2 linked regions of the Styela clava genome follow. The protein of the gene in region 1 purifies or fractionates together with the protein of each later gene. This does not show direct contact. Links are inferred from orthologs where the notes say so. Each region holds a gene or a part of one and is shown on either strand. Other genes may lie near its edges.

Region 1 (7,245 bases):
ATGAACAGATTTTTTATTTAGCATACTGATAAAATAAAAAATTGAAATACCAAGTGTAATTTCCTATACCATTCTACCCCAATCAAGCAATTATGCTAATTTTAAACCCCAGTTACGTATTTTTTGGCATGAGGTGCACGTCTATTCAATATTTACGCTGACCCACTCTTTGCATGATGTCAGGGTTCAATCTTAATAAATATTCGAATTCCCAGTCACATTCCTTGAAAGTGTATTTAGGTAGAAATACCTAAGTTAGTATTTTAAACGGTGAAAAACTCATCCGCGTGTTCCAACCTCTCAGATGGCTGCTAATGTTTCAAAGGATAAGACAGCCAGCTGAGCGAGCTGTTTCAAGCAGACGCCATATTACAAAATATCAATCCTCAAGATTGCACGCATGATCCTTCTACTTATCGGCTGATAATGAAGACATTGTCATTTCAGCTGGGCACATCTCATATATAGACAACATAAATCTCAACGAATTTTTTTCGAAGTTATTTTAAATATTCTCGATAATCACATGATCTAACTATCGCCCAAATTTGGTCATATTAATTAATCCTTCTGCAGCCAACGCGGAGGCAAATGCTTTCACATCAGAGAATTAACGGGAGTTTTACACGTACAGCACTTCCTGTATATATCTGCACATCTATCATCACCTTGTTTATAAAAGCAATAAACAATTTATATTTCGAAAGCATAGATAAAAAGAATATCGAAAAATAATGCAAATATTACAATAATTTTAGAGTAATATACCGTATCCATATTGCAATTACGCGCGATAGCTGACAAATTAGCAACCGTGAGCAGTACGTACACTCAAGTTATCAATATTTACTAATTTTCTATTTCGTTAGCTCATTCTCTCCTTGAATATGACCAAACGGCTCGAGGCCATTTCTATTGCCTCTCTATACAATGTGTATATTACGTACGGGTTTCCAAAATATATGAAATGCAATTGCGTTTGGGTATTTTCGACCAACACGTTGTGTTATGTGCGCATTTATCTGTCAGTTGAAGTGTTATGTCATCACATGTATATTGGATTACGATAACGTCATAATTATAAGCTGTAAAATAAATTTAACAACGACTACAATGTGAAATAATTCACCTACAGTCAAGCTTTACAGAAAAGTTGAATAGATAATTTTCAAAAAGAATTGTATACGCATAAAATAATACTCGTATACAAGATTAGATATTTGAATGTTGGTTGTTTGTTCCGATTGCTGTTTACTTGACAAAATATAGTTCAAAAAAGTAAATGAAGAAATAGATAACTTTCTCCTAATTTCAACACTATTTTATTTTGCGGTGCTTAAGAAATAATGTTTTGTAAAACATATTGTTGCTATGAACACTTGTAGTATTTAACAGAACATTAAAGAGTGTTTACTCTTTACTGTAATGATAAAATATTATTCAACTGCAGACGTTCTAGTTACCTTGATCTTTCGACAACAAGACATTGTATTTTGAGTCTTATAAATTCGGAAATATCTATAGTTATCGTACTAATTAAAAATTGAATTTACTCACCCTCCTGCGCATCTTTTCCTAACAATAGTAATAGTCAACTTCTCTTGCTTATGATATATATCAGTTTGACGCAGAACAAAACTTCGAAATGAAAGAAATCTTCTCTGTTATTGTATTTAACCTGCGAACTTTAACAATGACGATATGAGGTGTCAAACATAGAAGGCATGTTTATCTCAAAAGCAATTAAAAAGCCTGCTCATCGTAATAAAACACACCACAAACGCGCATTAATAATATAATAGAAGCCTATGTTTTCACGGAACCGTGTTCGTCGATTTTTGATGACGAACTTTTTATAAGAACATTGGCCAACATCATGCGGTAAACATGTTTCCAAGGTCATGGCCTTGATAAAATTAGACTTGCCTGATTTATAGGAGTCTGAAGTGTCGAGAAGAAGTGTTACCGCGAATAGTTATAAGGGTGTTTTTACACTTTAAATCTCAGGAATTTCAATGAATTGGTAAGTATTATATTTATAATCATTAAGCACAAATAAAAATTTACTTTATAATTTTTGATATCTTGAAAATCTTGCTCCAGAGGCGTAATTTGTATATAATAAAAAATGAAAAAAAATGAAATTTTTGCGACAAGTGACAAGTTTTCTGATTGATGGTACAGCAATTGCTGCGCTTGAGCACCTCGTATTTGCCACAGTAAAAAGTAATTATGTCTCAATAATTCGAATATACTGTTAAACGTTCAATTTTAGATATTTATCTTCAGAGTGAAATGCAACGCCATTGTGTTCTGACACTGTTTGCCATTTTATCATGGCTTTAATCCAATTCTAGATTAAAATAGTCAAATGTGTTCTGGACATAGAAGCATTCCAAATGGACGAAATCAAGTGTGGGTGTTATTCATCAACTCTCGGGATTTACTTGCTAGTGACGGTCACTGGAATAACCCCTCAAAGAATACTACTTTATATCAAAGAATGTGCAGTTCCCATTGAAGATATTGGCGATATTTATGACAGCTGTTCCACTAAAGCCACCTAAGTACGGCACCATTCACGACAGTTGCACAACCAAGTTAACTCGTGAATCGAGTTAATTAATCCCAATAAACTGAATCAAGTCGAGTTTCCTTTAGTTGTTCTTAAACGGTGGGAAGCTTCATAAGGGGCGCGTACACAAATTTTGAGGGGACGGGAAGCTAATTAATAATAAAAATATATTATATTTGTTAGATTTGATCTCGCCCGCCCTGTTTCGGATATTCACATTTTGCACGATTTTAAAACTTTCATTTATTTCATTATTTACGTTCCATCCACGTATTTCCAAAGTGATTTTTTTTAATGAAACATACTTTCGCCTTACCATCTGTTATTTGTAGCTTATTGTTAGCTAGTTATTTTTGAGGTGGGGCGCGAGGCTTGAAAAATTCCAAAAAATGGGAACCACTGATTTATACCGATCCGTCATCGGATTTAAAAATATCATTGTGGTGTTCAATTTTTAAATTTTTGTAACAAAACTGTGTTTTGTGGCTTCTTCACTTCATTCTTTATTGCGATTAACGAAACGTTCATTTTTGTGAGTGACTTAGAAAAGCAAATTTTTGACGATTTTCCTGCTTCAATTATTCCCAAAATAATCTGATTTTTCACTCACTTGTATAATTTCCAAGAAAAACTACTATAAAAAGCTAACAAGAAACAAAACAAACATGTATACATGACTTTTTAAAATTGTAATTCAATTTTTGGCGGTTTGAAACCGGCTTCAACAACACAACATATTGCCGAAAATTTTTCCTAACGTCATTTTCTGTAAGTCGGGCAAATGTCATAGTCGCTATCGCTAATTTGTTATGCAATGTTGGTTAATGTTAAATTGGTTATTGTTAATAGTATATTCAAATATCAAGGAATGAACACTGCCAGATGTGTGCAGTATATTATGGTAAAAGAGCCGCAGGCAACAAGCCGGAAATGTGTGAAATTCGTTTCATTGTTAAACGTTTACTTTCTTTTTTTAAATTGAAACTTTTCATTCGGCCCAACCGCGGAGCTATATATATTTCTAGTTCAGTACATCCAACGAATTCATTTAATGCATTTCTGGTAGAAAACAAGTTAACGGTTCTGTGCAATAAGCAAATATTATTGATATTTTCACATCCATTTAATAGTTGTTTAATAGTTGAAGTATTCGGCAACCAGTTGTTCAAAATGTATCTTTAAATTTTTAGAATTCCAACCGAACAAATATAACGAGATATATATCACTGATTCGAATAAACTGGATGCTAATTTAGTCTAAATAAACACGTATCATTATATCATTTTAAATCGCTGATATAAATTTAGCACTTCACACACGCAGCGCTACAATGATTTTCAAATTAATAAAAAGAATTTAAGTTGATTTAAAAAATCTCAGTACCCTTTTATAAATCAATATGAAATTTTGTATTGCACTGACATGTCTTGATTTTTTCTTGGATATGTTTTAATATTATCAAAAGCAGTGGCAAAGCGCACATTGAAAACACAGGGTCGCGTTTTGACGGCCGATATTTTCCGACATAGGTATCTAAAAATTCACATCGGTATGTCGTAATTTTTGCTCTATTCTGAATCATCGTGAGGTGGCGCTGGAGATCAACAATTTTTAAGAATATCTCTATCTCTATCTAACTTGACATTTCACAGTTAGTCTCAGACGTCTGGACGTAGCCGAGCTGTTCTTGTTTTTATCTTTTCCGCCGGTAAACGTTTATATATATTCTGATATATGACTTAGATTTTGGTGAATTTAATAAGCAAACAATACAAGAGATGAATCGAATGAAAAACAAAAAGGTAATCGAAGGAGATCAAGCAAATGAATGGAGGAAATCAGGGAGCTTTGTGAATAAACCTTCAAGAGGATGGCTCCATCCAGATAATTCTGTGATGGGACCTGGCGTCGTCTATGCAGTTCGGGTAATATTTGATGCACATTATGGTTTTAATGTTTTTCATTATAATCTAGTAAACTCTGTGTATGCTGCAATGACTCAATGAATAATCTAGGAAACTTACAGGCTTATCCAGTTATCGATGAGAATAACTGAATAGAAGAATAATGGGGTCTAGCGAAGTAAACCTGTAAACGCTGTGACCTAAAATGCCAAATATCTGATGTAAAATGAGCGCCAGAACTGCTTAAATAACACAGAACTAGAATATGATGGGAAATTTTCATGTTTTTTTTTAAAAAAAAGTCGGTCAGCGTGGAATGAAATTCTTGGCGTATTAAGTCAGTAAGTAAAATGAAACCCAAGCTCACTAGAAGTACTAGGCTAGACCCCATTTTTGTTTGGCATCATTTAAGCTCTTACAGCGTTCACTTCGCTAGAACGAAATAATGCCAGACTCATACCAATGAAAGTAGAAATGATGATTTTTTTCCGTATTTTATACTTGAGATAGCTTCTCTTGTTAACTAATAGACCAATCGATTTCAAATTTCCGCTACTTAAATGGGGAAGTAATAGCCTGACGGTTCAATATTTTTTTTTTCAAGTTCCCCCTAAACCCTGTGAGATCCGATATTATACCCAAAATATCACTGTTTTATTTTTATTCATGGAAAACCTATTTTTATTTCATTTTTGCCATTGTCAAGGTTATCCTTCATTTTTGTTTTGTGAACTAGGTACTCAGCCACGTTTGAGTGTAAGATACATAACCTACTGCAGTTAATTGTTGAACTGTCATGTTCATAAATTTGAGCATTTTTCTCATATTTTTTATCTTGTTTTTCATATTTTTTTTATAGTATCTTGGATGTATAGAAGTCAGGCAAAGTATGCGGACATTACAATTCGATATGAGGACACAGGCAACAAAGTGAGTTTCTAGTCAAAATGTTTATCCCTTTTTGTTAGAGCCTGACCATTTAGTGTTAAATTTGGTATGCAATTTGTGTACAAGAACCATGATAAGTATACAGGAAGGTCTTATCTTTCCTCATATCTGTTTATGGTGAGGTGATGTAATGAATATTAATAAGCATTAGTCATTGTAATTGTCATTCACAGTATATAAAATCTTGGTGTCAAAAGGGTTCACGGGTATGAACCCAATGAAAGATCCAATCTTGAAATGAATTCAGAAGCAATTTTTCTAACGCTTCGACTATTATTGTATCCAGCCTGTAAGAGTCGATCTGCAAGTAAAATACTGCCTTTTTTACTTCTTATGTAAGACCAATAATATAGGCCAATTGCTGAAAAAACTCAATTTTTTTAGGCATCTAAATTTTTTTTATACCATGTTGTTTATGGCCTTTACCATCAAAAAAGTGAACAAGGCTTTGTAAAGCATCTACTGCTAGGTATCAATGATCAAATTACTTCAGATTCGGTTCAAAATGATTACGTGTAGTTGTTGGTCCATGCTATTTGTTGTGGTACAATTAGATATTAATGGTGTTTTATCCATGTTTATTCTAGGGCAAAGAGTCTGTAAAACTGTAAAAAAAGTCTGTAATTTTCTAAGAGATATAATACTGTCAGTAATCCTTTTATAAGTGGAAGTCACAGGCTTAAGGATTAGTTTGCAACTTGCAAGTTTAAACCTTCACTCTGGAAAAAACGGCTGTTCCAAACTTTTTATATCAGACAATGTAGCTGATACCATAGCTTGATCCATTTACTAATTTTTTCTGATGATTTATTCTGATATTACTTTAAAGGGAAGCAATATGGAGAATATTGATGGCCACAAGACGATCACATCAACTGGTTTCTCGAAGGAAAAAGACTCCGAAAGAAGTTTCACGAATTCTAGGAGAACGTCCCAATCTACAGTTTTCATTATCATTGATTAATTTAACAATTTCAACAGCAAGTTTGACTTTGGTTGTCACTGATTCGGGACAGGTATTGATGATATTTATACACTTTAAAGAAAATGTGCTTCACACATACTCAGTAATGAAAAAGCTCTGTGTGAGGAAAGTTACTGGTGATCACTGAAATGACAATAGCTAACATGGAGTTTGAAACCTTCTCGTGAGTTATCTAACTCTAAATTTCACCAAAGGCCTGCAGTTAGATTAAATATTCTCATCATCTTCTGCTTAACTAAGATATTGTTTGTTGTAGATTTGCTACGAGCATTCTTTCATTACAAAAGTTTCTTAATTTGAAAATAACTCATTCTAGCTCACTAACTTCGTTTCTGCAAAAAATGATTTTAGTGGGTGCAAGTAGACAAAAAATTAATCATCTTTAAACTTGCCTCTCGGCTCTGACTAGGTTCTCAGAATGAGTGAGGTATGGTGGATGTTAACTTGAACAAATCTCTACCAACTGAGAGTTATAAGAGTCCTTCAATTCAATTTGATGATAAACTCAAGTTTTTATTCTTTTGCAAATACGATGGAAAGTGCAGTTGACAGTTATACTGTCATAATCCATCCATCACCTTTTAGGTTTGAATCTTGTGATTCAAATGATAAGTACAGGTTTTTTCTTCTTTTTGCAAATACAATCGAAAGTAAAGTTGACGCTTAGAGTTGTTATTAATATTGCATACTATCGGCTACTAATGTTCTTCGGAATACTGGCAACACAAGTTTTGTTACACTTTGTTGTTATTGATATGGTTTGTTTAGAATTAGGATCAGAATGGGCAGGCTCTGATGTAATTGCCACTGTGCCATCGGTGTAACTGATAGT
Region 2 (7,636 bases), on another chromosome or scaffold:
ATTTTTATTAACGGAAACTAAAATAATTAGGTTGAATTACTATTTCAAAGTCTATAAAAGAATGTCCAGACTTTCTTTTTTATTATTAACAATTTAATCAAGTTGAAAGTTTTTAGTCAAAAGCTCCATCCAACATGGAGGTGGGATCTGACTAGTTTTTTCAGATTTGGAAATAAGTTTTCCCGACTACAAACTTTCAATCTGATTCTAACATACAGTATAAAATTAAATAAATAGATCCCAAAACTGATATATGTGAAAGTTGAGCATAAAATATTGTTTGTTGTTTTTTGATTTCTCTACATCAGTGGTTCCCAAAGTTGATTGTCCGTGGGGCCAAAATTAGAAGCGGAAGTATATTCTCAGGCCATGGGAGGACAGTGCAATAGGCCGACACCAGTTTGTGTAATTGATATACCAGTTTAATTGAATCCTTGTGTATATATACATGCTTAAACAGTGATAATGGTGCAAATGAGTGAAAAAATGTAAAGTTTGGCGGATCAAAATAAATCGCTAAAAGAGCTATTAATGGACCGCGGGGCAATAAAAATAAAATTTAGCCTGGAACAAGATATTTAGATTTGGAAGATTCCTCTATAGTTAGGGTCTGGTATAGTTTAGTACCACATATACTTCTAGTGGGCGTTGCATCAAAATTTTTCGACATGACAATCCTAACCCCCCCCCCCCTTTTGAATTTTCCTTCTGCTAAAATCGCCCATGTTTTCATCAGCGTGTTATTTAGGTCGTAAACGACCTTATGTCGGTTTTTATTCTTTCTAAACCATAAATTTCGTGTGCTTACATCGCACATTATGTTTGGTCGCCGTTTAGGAACATACCGTCACTAAAAGCGAAACACGGTTAAATATAGTGGGTGGGATTTGCCTTTTATCCATTACTTTAAAATTGTCGTAGAAAATTTTCGTGTTATCATTAAACAAGGTTGAAAACGCGATTTTTTCCCGGTTTGTGATGATATATAAGATAAGTAATGCGAAGTATATCCATCAATTTTTATTGTACTGAAATGAATTTTACTCCATGAGAATTTACAGCAGATTTACGGATTTTTCAGGAAGTTTTATCTTTAAAAATAATCGGAGTGTCAGCATTGCGATTGAACGGAGTCAATGTTACAAGCACATCTCAAATTTGTCGAATTTGCAAAATAGAAAAAATACGGATCAAAACAATATATGATAGGCGACGGGCAGTTACCACAAATTTTTATTTTTATGTCGGCAAATGGCTGAGGTATTTTAAAATTGTGAATTGTAAGAAATTGTTTTGTTTTGTCGACGCAAACGCTGGTTAAATTGAAGACAATTAAATTAATAAAGCAAGACATTTTAAATATGCCCTTATCGGTCACGAATTGATTACTTTGCACAACAGAAAAATCATTTTTTGTTGTAAACGTCGGCTCTTTAAACAAGTGGCGTAATCGAGGCGATGAATAGGTATTTTTGATTTAACGATATACTTCATATGCATTTTCATTGTATGAAATAAAATTGTACTTTTCGGGATTTTATATCAGTTATTGAGATTTTTCTAACAGCGATAACGAGTTGGCAAGATTCCAAAAATACGTATTAAAATTAAATACACCGTTTATCTCATATTTTTATGTTCACCGATCGCCGTGGCATTTCAGAGAACTAATGTTTTAATTTTGACGTAAGAAGAAGCAACCGCGAGTTACGTTGGACACAATTAAACTAATATATAAAGACATTTTAGAATTTTGTAGTTGTCAGAGATTGAATATTTCACGCGAAAAGAATAATCATTATACGCTGAAAAGACGTCCCTTTAACGAGCGCGTAATGCGAAGACTGTTACAGACCGCAATGGGAATTTATGATTATGAAACCCCCCCCTTTTGAAAATCCTGGCTGCGCGCCTGCCCCCACCTGACTACGTCATCCAAAAATTATGTCAATACGACATCACAATCACAGCAAAGAGCTTGCCAAATATACGTACGATCGCCCGGAATGGCATCGGCGCCGACGATGAAAAACTGACTCACGTCAGCGATCTCTCTCATACTAGGATTGTAGGGACGAGAAAACGAGATGTCGGATGCGCAGACGAGCGGGTCTTGGATGACAGTCCGCATATTTTGAAGGGCTATATTACGTCACTGTGACGTTGCAGTGACGTAATTTTTGGATGAAGTAGTCAGGTGGGGGTTAGGATTGAAACGTGAAAAAATTGTTATGCAACGCCCACTAGAAGTATATGTGGTACTATACTATACTAGACCCTATAATTACGGCAGCAGAATTTCAAAAAAATATTAATAAATATCATAAATTATAATTTTACCTGCACAGCAAGGAGTCCACTGTCTGTTGGCAATATCCGATATGTATGTATTGACCCACCGTGCCTAGGAATACAACATTATTTAAGAAAGTAAATTTCTATAAAAAGATTGGGTAAAATACTTTCTTCATTTTTGAAAGAGGCCATTGTAATTTCAAATCTCTATTTTCACCTAAGACTGCCAAGCCTACTGAACTAATTACAAAATCAGACAATCAGAGTTACCGTATGTTTCAGCAAATAAGGCGAAGCCTCATTTTAGCACCAAAAACTGAATACAAATCATGTTTGATAAGACTTTAGGCCGATAAAATCTGCTAAAATAACCGCAAAGTATAGAGAACATTTGGAAGGAAGGCATGATCACAGACGTTTGAGAAACGTTGTCTTAACCCACCAAGCAATAAAGATAACAACAAAACAAGTAGATACTCACAGAACGCTGAGAGCATACGCTCCCATGATACTTTCGCTTGCACGAACAACAAAACTTCCGTCCAACCCTGCTTTGAAGACAAGTTCTTCTGCTCTTTGTCGACTGAGTCGACCATGATACCATTTCTCTTCAGACATTCTCAGTGTTCGCAAGAATCACATGTTCTGACTACTTTTACAAATAAAACTACTGTTAATGCAGTAATGAAACTATTTACGAATGAAAGTGAACATTTCAATATATAGTTCAGGACAATTGAAAATTCATGTCGGTTTACAGTTGATATTGGAGCTGAGCATCGGTTTGAATCAATAAGTTATTCGAATTGTTCCAGGCAAAATTTTGAATCGTCACCATTTTGCTTTTTGTCTGCCAAAGATCATAGTAAATTCGTTAATTTGTCTGCCAAAGATCATAGTAAATTCTTTAATTTCTTAAAATGCAAATTTGACATATGACCATTTTCTTTTTAGCGTTTATGATAATTTTAATTTATATCTCTGGGGGCCCAACACAATAAAAAGTCACATACAATTGCGTAGCTTCCAAGTATTCGAGATTCGATTCGGAAAAAAAAAGTAATTCAATCCTGAAATACAGTACAGCACACTATCCAAATTCCAGGAATTTCCCTCCATTTGGCTGAATAAAATAAACACTCTGTGTCTCACAAACGAGAGGCGTCTGGGACCCCGTCAGATGCTTTATATCGCGTCATGCTTGTCGTAATAATAATCGAAATTAATCGCGGCCGTCACATGACCAAAATTGCCGTTTCTTGCTAAAAACTCTCGAATGCTACGGTAATTTTTTTTTCTTCGGTAAATCGGATTAATTTTTTTTCAAGGAATTCAAAGAAGACGTTACTAGATTGCGCTTTTTTGTAGTATTTGGCGCAACTCCATTATACTGTATTATTACCGATATTGAGGGATAACAATGTCCAGACGTCTAGTGTCTGATCATTTGCAAAATGGGTTTCTCTGAAACGGGACAATGTCACCCGATTTGTATAGTGTGCCGTACTGAAATACTCATGTAACTGAAAATGCCCAGCCCTAGTTGTTATCTGATTCATTGAGGCACACTTCTCAGGCAAAATTCTCCAATTCCAAGACTGTTCCAAAATATTGATGAAAAAACAAAAACTAGGCATGTTTAAAACAAGGAGTGATGCCAGACGCAGTATCAACTGATTGGGCAATTTAGCATAAGGTGACTCCAACTGTAATCCAGATAATCAGCTTGACAATATCTTCCGAGGGCTAATTTTATTTTTGTTTGTATATTTTTCTTTTTATTAAGTAATAGGGTGGTGTAGCCAATCTGCGGACCATTTCATTCAAACCGCTACGTTTGGAATATGAAACCGTATGGAATTCGCAAGCTTATTTAGAGAGACGATGGGTAGTTGGCGACATGAAAAAATGATCTGCTTTTTTTCTTCGGTCAGGTTTTCGGGCGAAACTATTTTGTTTGTGGCCGAAGTTCAGTGTCATTTCGCAGAGCTACGGGGGATAATTGGACGATAACGCATGAGAAATATCGTCGCGGTTCGTTAATTTATTCGGCATTAATTTAATCGATAAAGTTGATGGCCGCAAATAGGTCGTGGCCGCAAAGTGGCTAAGCCACCCTATATTTTTCATGCTCCTCTTTTTTTATCTCTTCTAATTTTATTTTGATGATTGTATGTACAGATGTACCGTAAACGCAGGTAACTTCGGATGGTTTATAACTTCGGATGAAATTTTCAATCGTTTATATCTCGACTAAATTACGTCATATTCTGCTTCTGGCAGTTTCTATAGAGAGTCCTTATATATCTTAATCTCTTATCATATTCAGTCGCCTAATAGGATTTATTTTTTGACACAAAAAATCACCTTTTTGCCAAAAATTGACACCTCGCTTTTGAGCGGCTAAAATAGCGACTTCTATCGACGCTAACTTCACTAAAAGACCGTCAATCGCTAGAGGGCATACACAATGTACAAGGAAAATTACAGTGATCACTAGATGTCGTACGAGATTCAAGTAAAATATATTATTTTGATTTAAAAATTTCGTCAAAATATCGACGTTACGGTGCTTACGCTGAACGTGACGTCAACAACGTGATTCAATTTCGCTCCATTTAAGGCCGACGTCACATTGCGTAACTCGCTGCGACATTTGAACGCCAGACTATGTGGCGCCACGTGTAGTTAAATATAAAGTGAAAACTCCTACCTGATCCTCGTCACCAAATCCTACAAAAACTTAATTATAGCCCCGGTCATATGCTGTTTATTTATTGTGAATCCGATTAATGCACATTAAATTTGTGTGTTAACATTTCGGCATTCTTCGACCGTATAGATGTTGTTGATACGTAAGGCTGATGAACAGCCAGATACGCGTATCTATACTATCACAATGACAAGGTTTTACGATCGGCGATGATAATATATTAAGAGTAGAATGTTGCACAGGTGAGCATGAAACTCTGCACAGGTGCACACAGCAGGAGATTGGAGGTTTTTGGCGTTTTTATCCGTTTCATGTCTATCTGCCTGTGAATACATTATATCTGAATTATCAACACGGCCACAAGCTACACTGTTCCATATTGTTGTCCACTTCCATTTTTTTTACTTTTACTACCTACCGTAATTCATCATCCATTTTTCTTTTTTATTATTTTCATTCGTTTCATTTTTGTTTTGTATTAAAAATTGTTTTCCATTTTTACTTTTACGACTTATTTTATTCGTCCGTTTTTTATTTTCATTTGTCCCATGTTGTCTCATTTTTGTTTCGTATTGAAACGATCATAATAGCAAGATATAGCACTTTCATGAAATTAAGAATAGTCAAGAGATAAATGGTTTAGTTTTGCGAAACGTCAGGAATAGGGCTGGGCAAAATTATTACATGCGTTGTATTTTGAAGCATTTAGCGGTAATAATTATGGCGCGACACTGTCAAAATCGCCGAGTAAAGTGCTGAGTTCGCAAATTCCGCAGATAAAATTGTGAATTAGTCGGTAACGGTTTTAGCTATAATAACCGTTGGGGTATTGTTTTGTTCAAAAAAGTTAAAACTTGAGGGAAATAGTTATAATTAGTGTCCGACCCGCTATCAGGACCAAAAGCCTTATGACAAGTATAAATGCATAACGGCCGATTTATTCAATCATTATTATAAATAAAAATTCAGTATTCGCACAATCGCGGGTGCAAAGCATAACAACATCAATCATCGTCTTAATAAATATCTCCATCTCGGCGACGATAATAATATCACCGTTCGCTTTAAACTCGAACGATTAATAGTATACAAACGGTGATAAGTAAGATCAAAGCCAACACGTAAGATTAAATCAGAACAAAATTAATTTGGGTTTTGAAATCAGTCCTTCTTGTCTTCAAGAGCTGTTGCCGATGTAAACACACGGGTACACCAGATATATAAAACTTTGATGTCCGCCGACCCGGAAGAATTAATAATCACAAAAACGGCCATCATAGATGAACGTCAGTGTGCGACACGCAAAACGAATCACGGCGTCGTAAGTTCTACGCAGCGACGTTATCACGCGTCACTGATCACGCAGACATTTCTCTCTCACGACGAAGTGACGCAAAGCGAAAAGTGGCCATCCGAAGTTATAAACATTTGGAATACAGATCGGCAGGCAAATAAAGTCAATAATTTGAATGAAAAAAAGTATTGATTGATATGAAACCGAGTTTATCGCGAGGAGAAAGGCTTCAATGTATTATATTCCAAGTTTGGCTTCAATTGAACAATAAACGGCGGAGAAATTGTTCATAATATAGTGAAATCATCCGAAGTTACCTGCTTTTACGGTATATGTTTTATTTAACTTAATACTCCTGGGTTAGCGAACACGTACCACTTCTTCTGACAACACATTTTAATCTAAAATCTGTAAATTCTGACATTTCAAATATTACTTACAACTTAGGGTTTTGTTCGCTTTCCTGATTCTGTAATCAGTTCAGCAGTTTTATTTATTTAGTTTTTATCATTTATTTTGTCCTCTTTCATGCTGATTATGGAGTCAAAATAATAAACTTATACCGGTCAATCATTCCACCTAATGCAGTAATGTCAGAATGTTTCAGTCCACTCCTTAACTCAGTCCCGTAACTCCAGAACAGTCTAAAACGTATGTGGGGGTGGCCATTTCTAGAATAACGGTACAATTCAAATTTTCAACTATCTGCCAAAATCAATCGTCTGATCGTGAAAATATCAAAAAGTTCACCTAATAATATAAAAAATTCACCTAATAAATCAAAACATAGCGACAGTTCTCGGTAAATCCAACCCTGGTTCTATTTCCTTGTTTCGTTCAAATTATTACGCTTGGATGATTTATGACGTCTTATTAGTGGAGGGAGTCTGCTCTTTTTGACATCTCGGCGTTGGCGCAATGGATAGGAAGGATAGGATTTACATATTTATCCCGGGGGAGAGAAAAGCCGATAAGACGGCTTATCCATATGGCGAACCACGGCCTCTCGTCCGGTTACCATTCCAAGTTGGGTATGGGATTAGTTATATTGTTTGCTTTCGGAAGCCGTAACCGACCAGCGGTTACGTGAGCCACCCAACGACGACGCACATAACCATCCTGCATGGGATTCGAACCTGCGAACACCCACACAGAGTAATTAATCTAACGCTTAGCCAGTTGAGCCACACCGCCGCGCCTGAGTGTTGGAGGAGAACGTTCGCCATATAAATTCTGATTTACTCTGTGTTCGCAATTTCTCATACTTTTGTGTTTCTCATACGTTTTGTAATATCCGGTTTCAATTGTTTTTTTTTAGGGTTTCTCGACCTTTC

The links.
Region 2: the proteins of SHC-transforming protein 1-like (region 1) and phosphatidylinositol 3,4,5-trisphosphate 5-phosphatase 1-like purify together in Homo sapiens (affinity purification with western blotting; 4 studies listed by BioGRID and IntAct, with this or other methods). This does not show direct contact. The link is inferred for Styela clava from reciprocal best matches to the Homo sapiens genes SHC1 and INPPL1.

Annotation. Positions count from the first base shown.
Region 1 is NC_135252.1:18,273,072-18,280,316, reverse strand, and holds the start of SHC-transforming protein 1-like, read left to right. Parts: upstream 1-4,224; 5' UTR 4,225-4,354; coding exon 4,355-4,501; intron 4,502-5,339; coding exon 5,340-5,410; intron 5,411-6,257; coding exon 6,258-6,444; intron 6,445-7,245. UniProt on the Homo sapiens protein: Signaling adapter that couples activated growth factor receptors to signaling pathways. Participates in a signaling cascade initiated by activated KIT and KITLG/SCF.
Region 2 is NC_135256.1:234,124-241,759, reverse strand, and holds the start of phosphatidylinositol 3,4,5-trisphosphate 5-phosphatase 1-like, read right to left. Parts: upstream 3,005-7,636; 5' UTR 2,914-3,004; coding exon 2,777-2,913; intron 2,405-2,776; coding exon 2,341-2,404; intron 1-2,340. UniProt on the Homo sapiens protein: Phosphatidylinositol (PtdIns) phosphatase that specifically hydrolyzes the 5-phosphate of phosphatidylinositol-3,4,5-trisphosphate (PtdIns(3,4,5)P3) to produce PtdIns(3,4)P2, thereby negatively regulating the PI3K (phosphoinositide 3-kinase) pathways.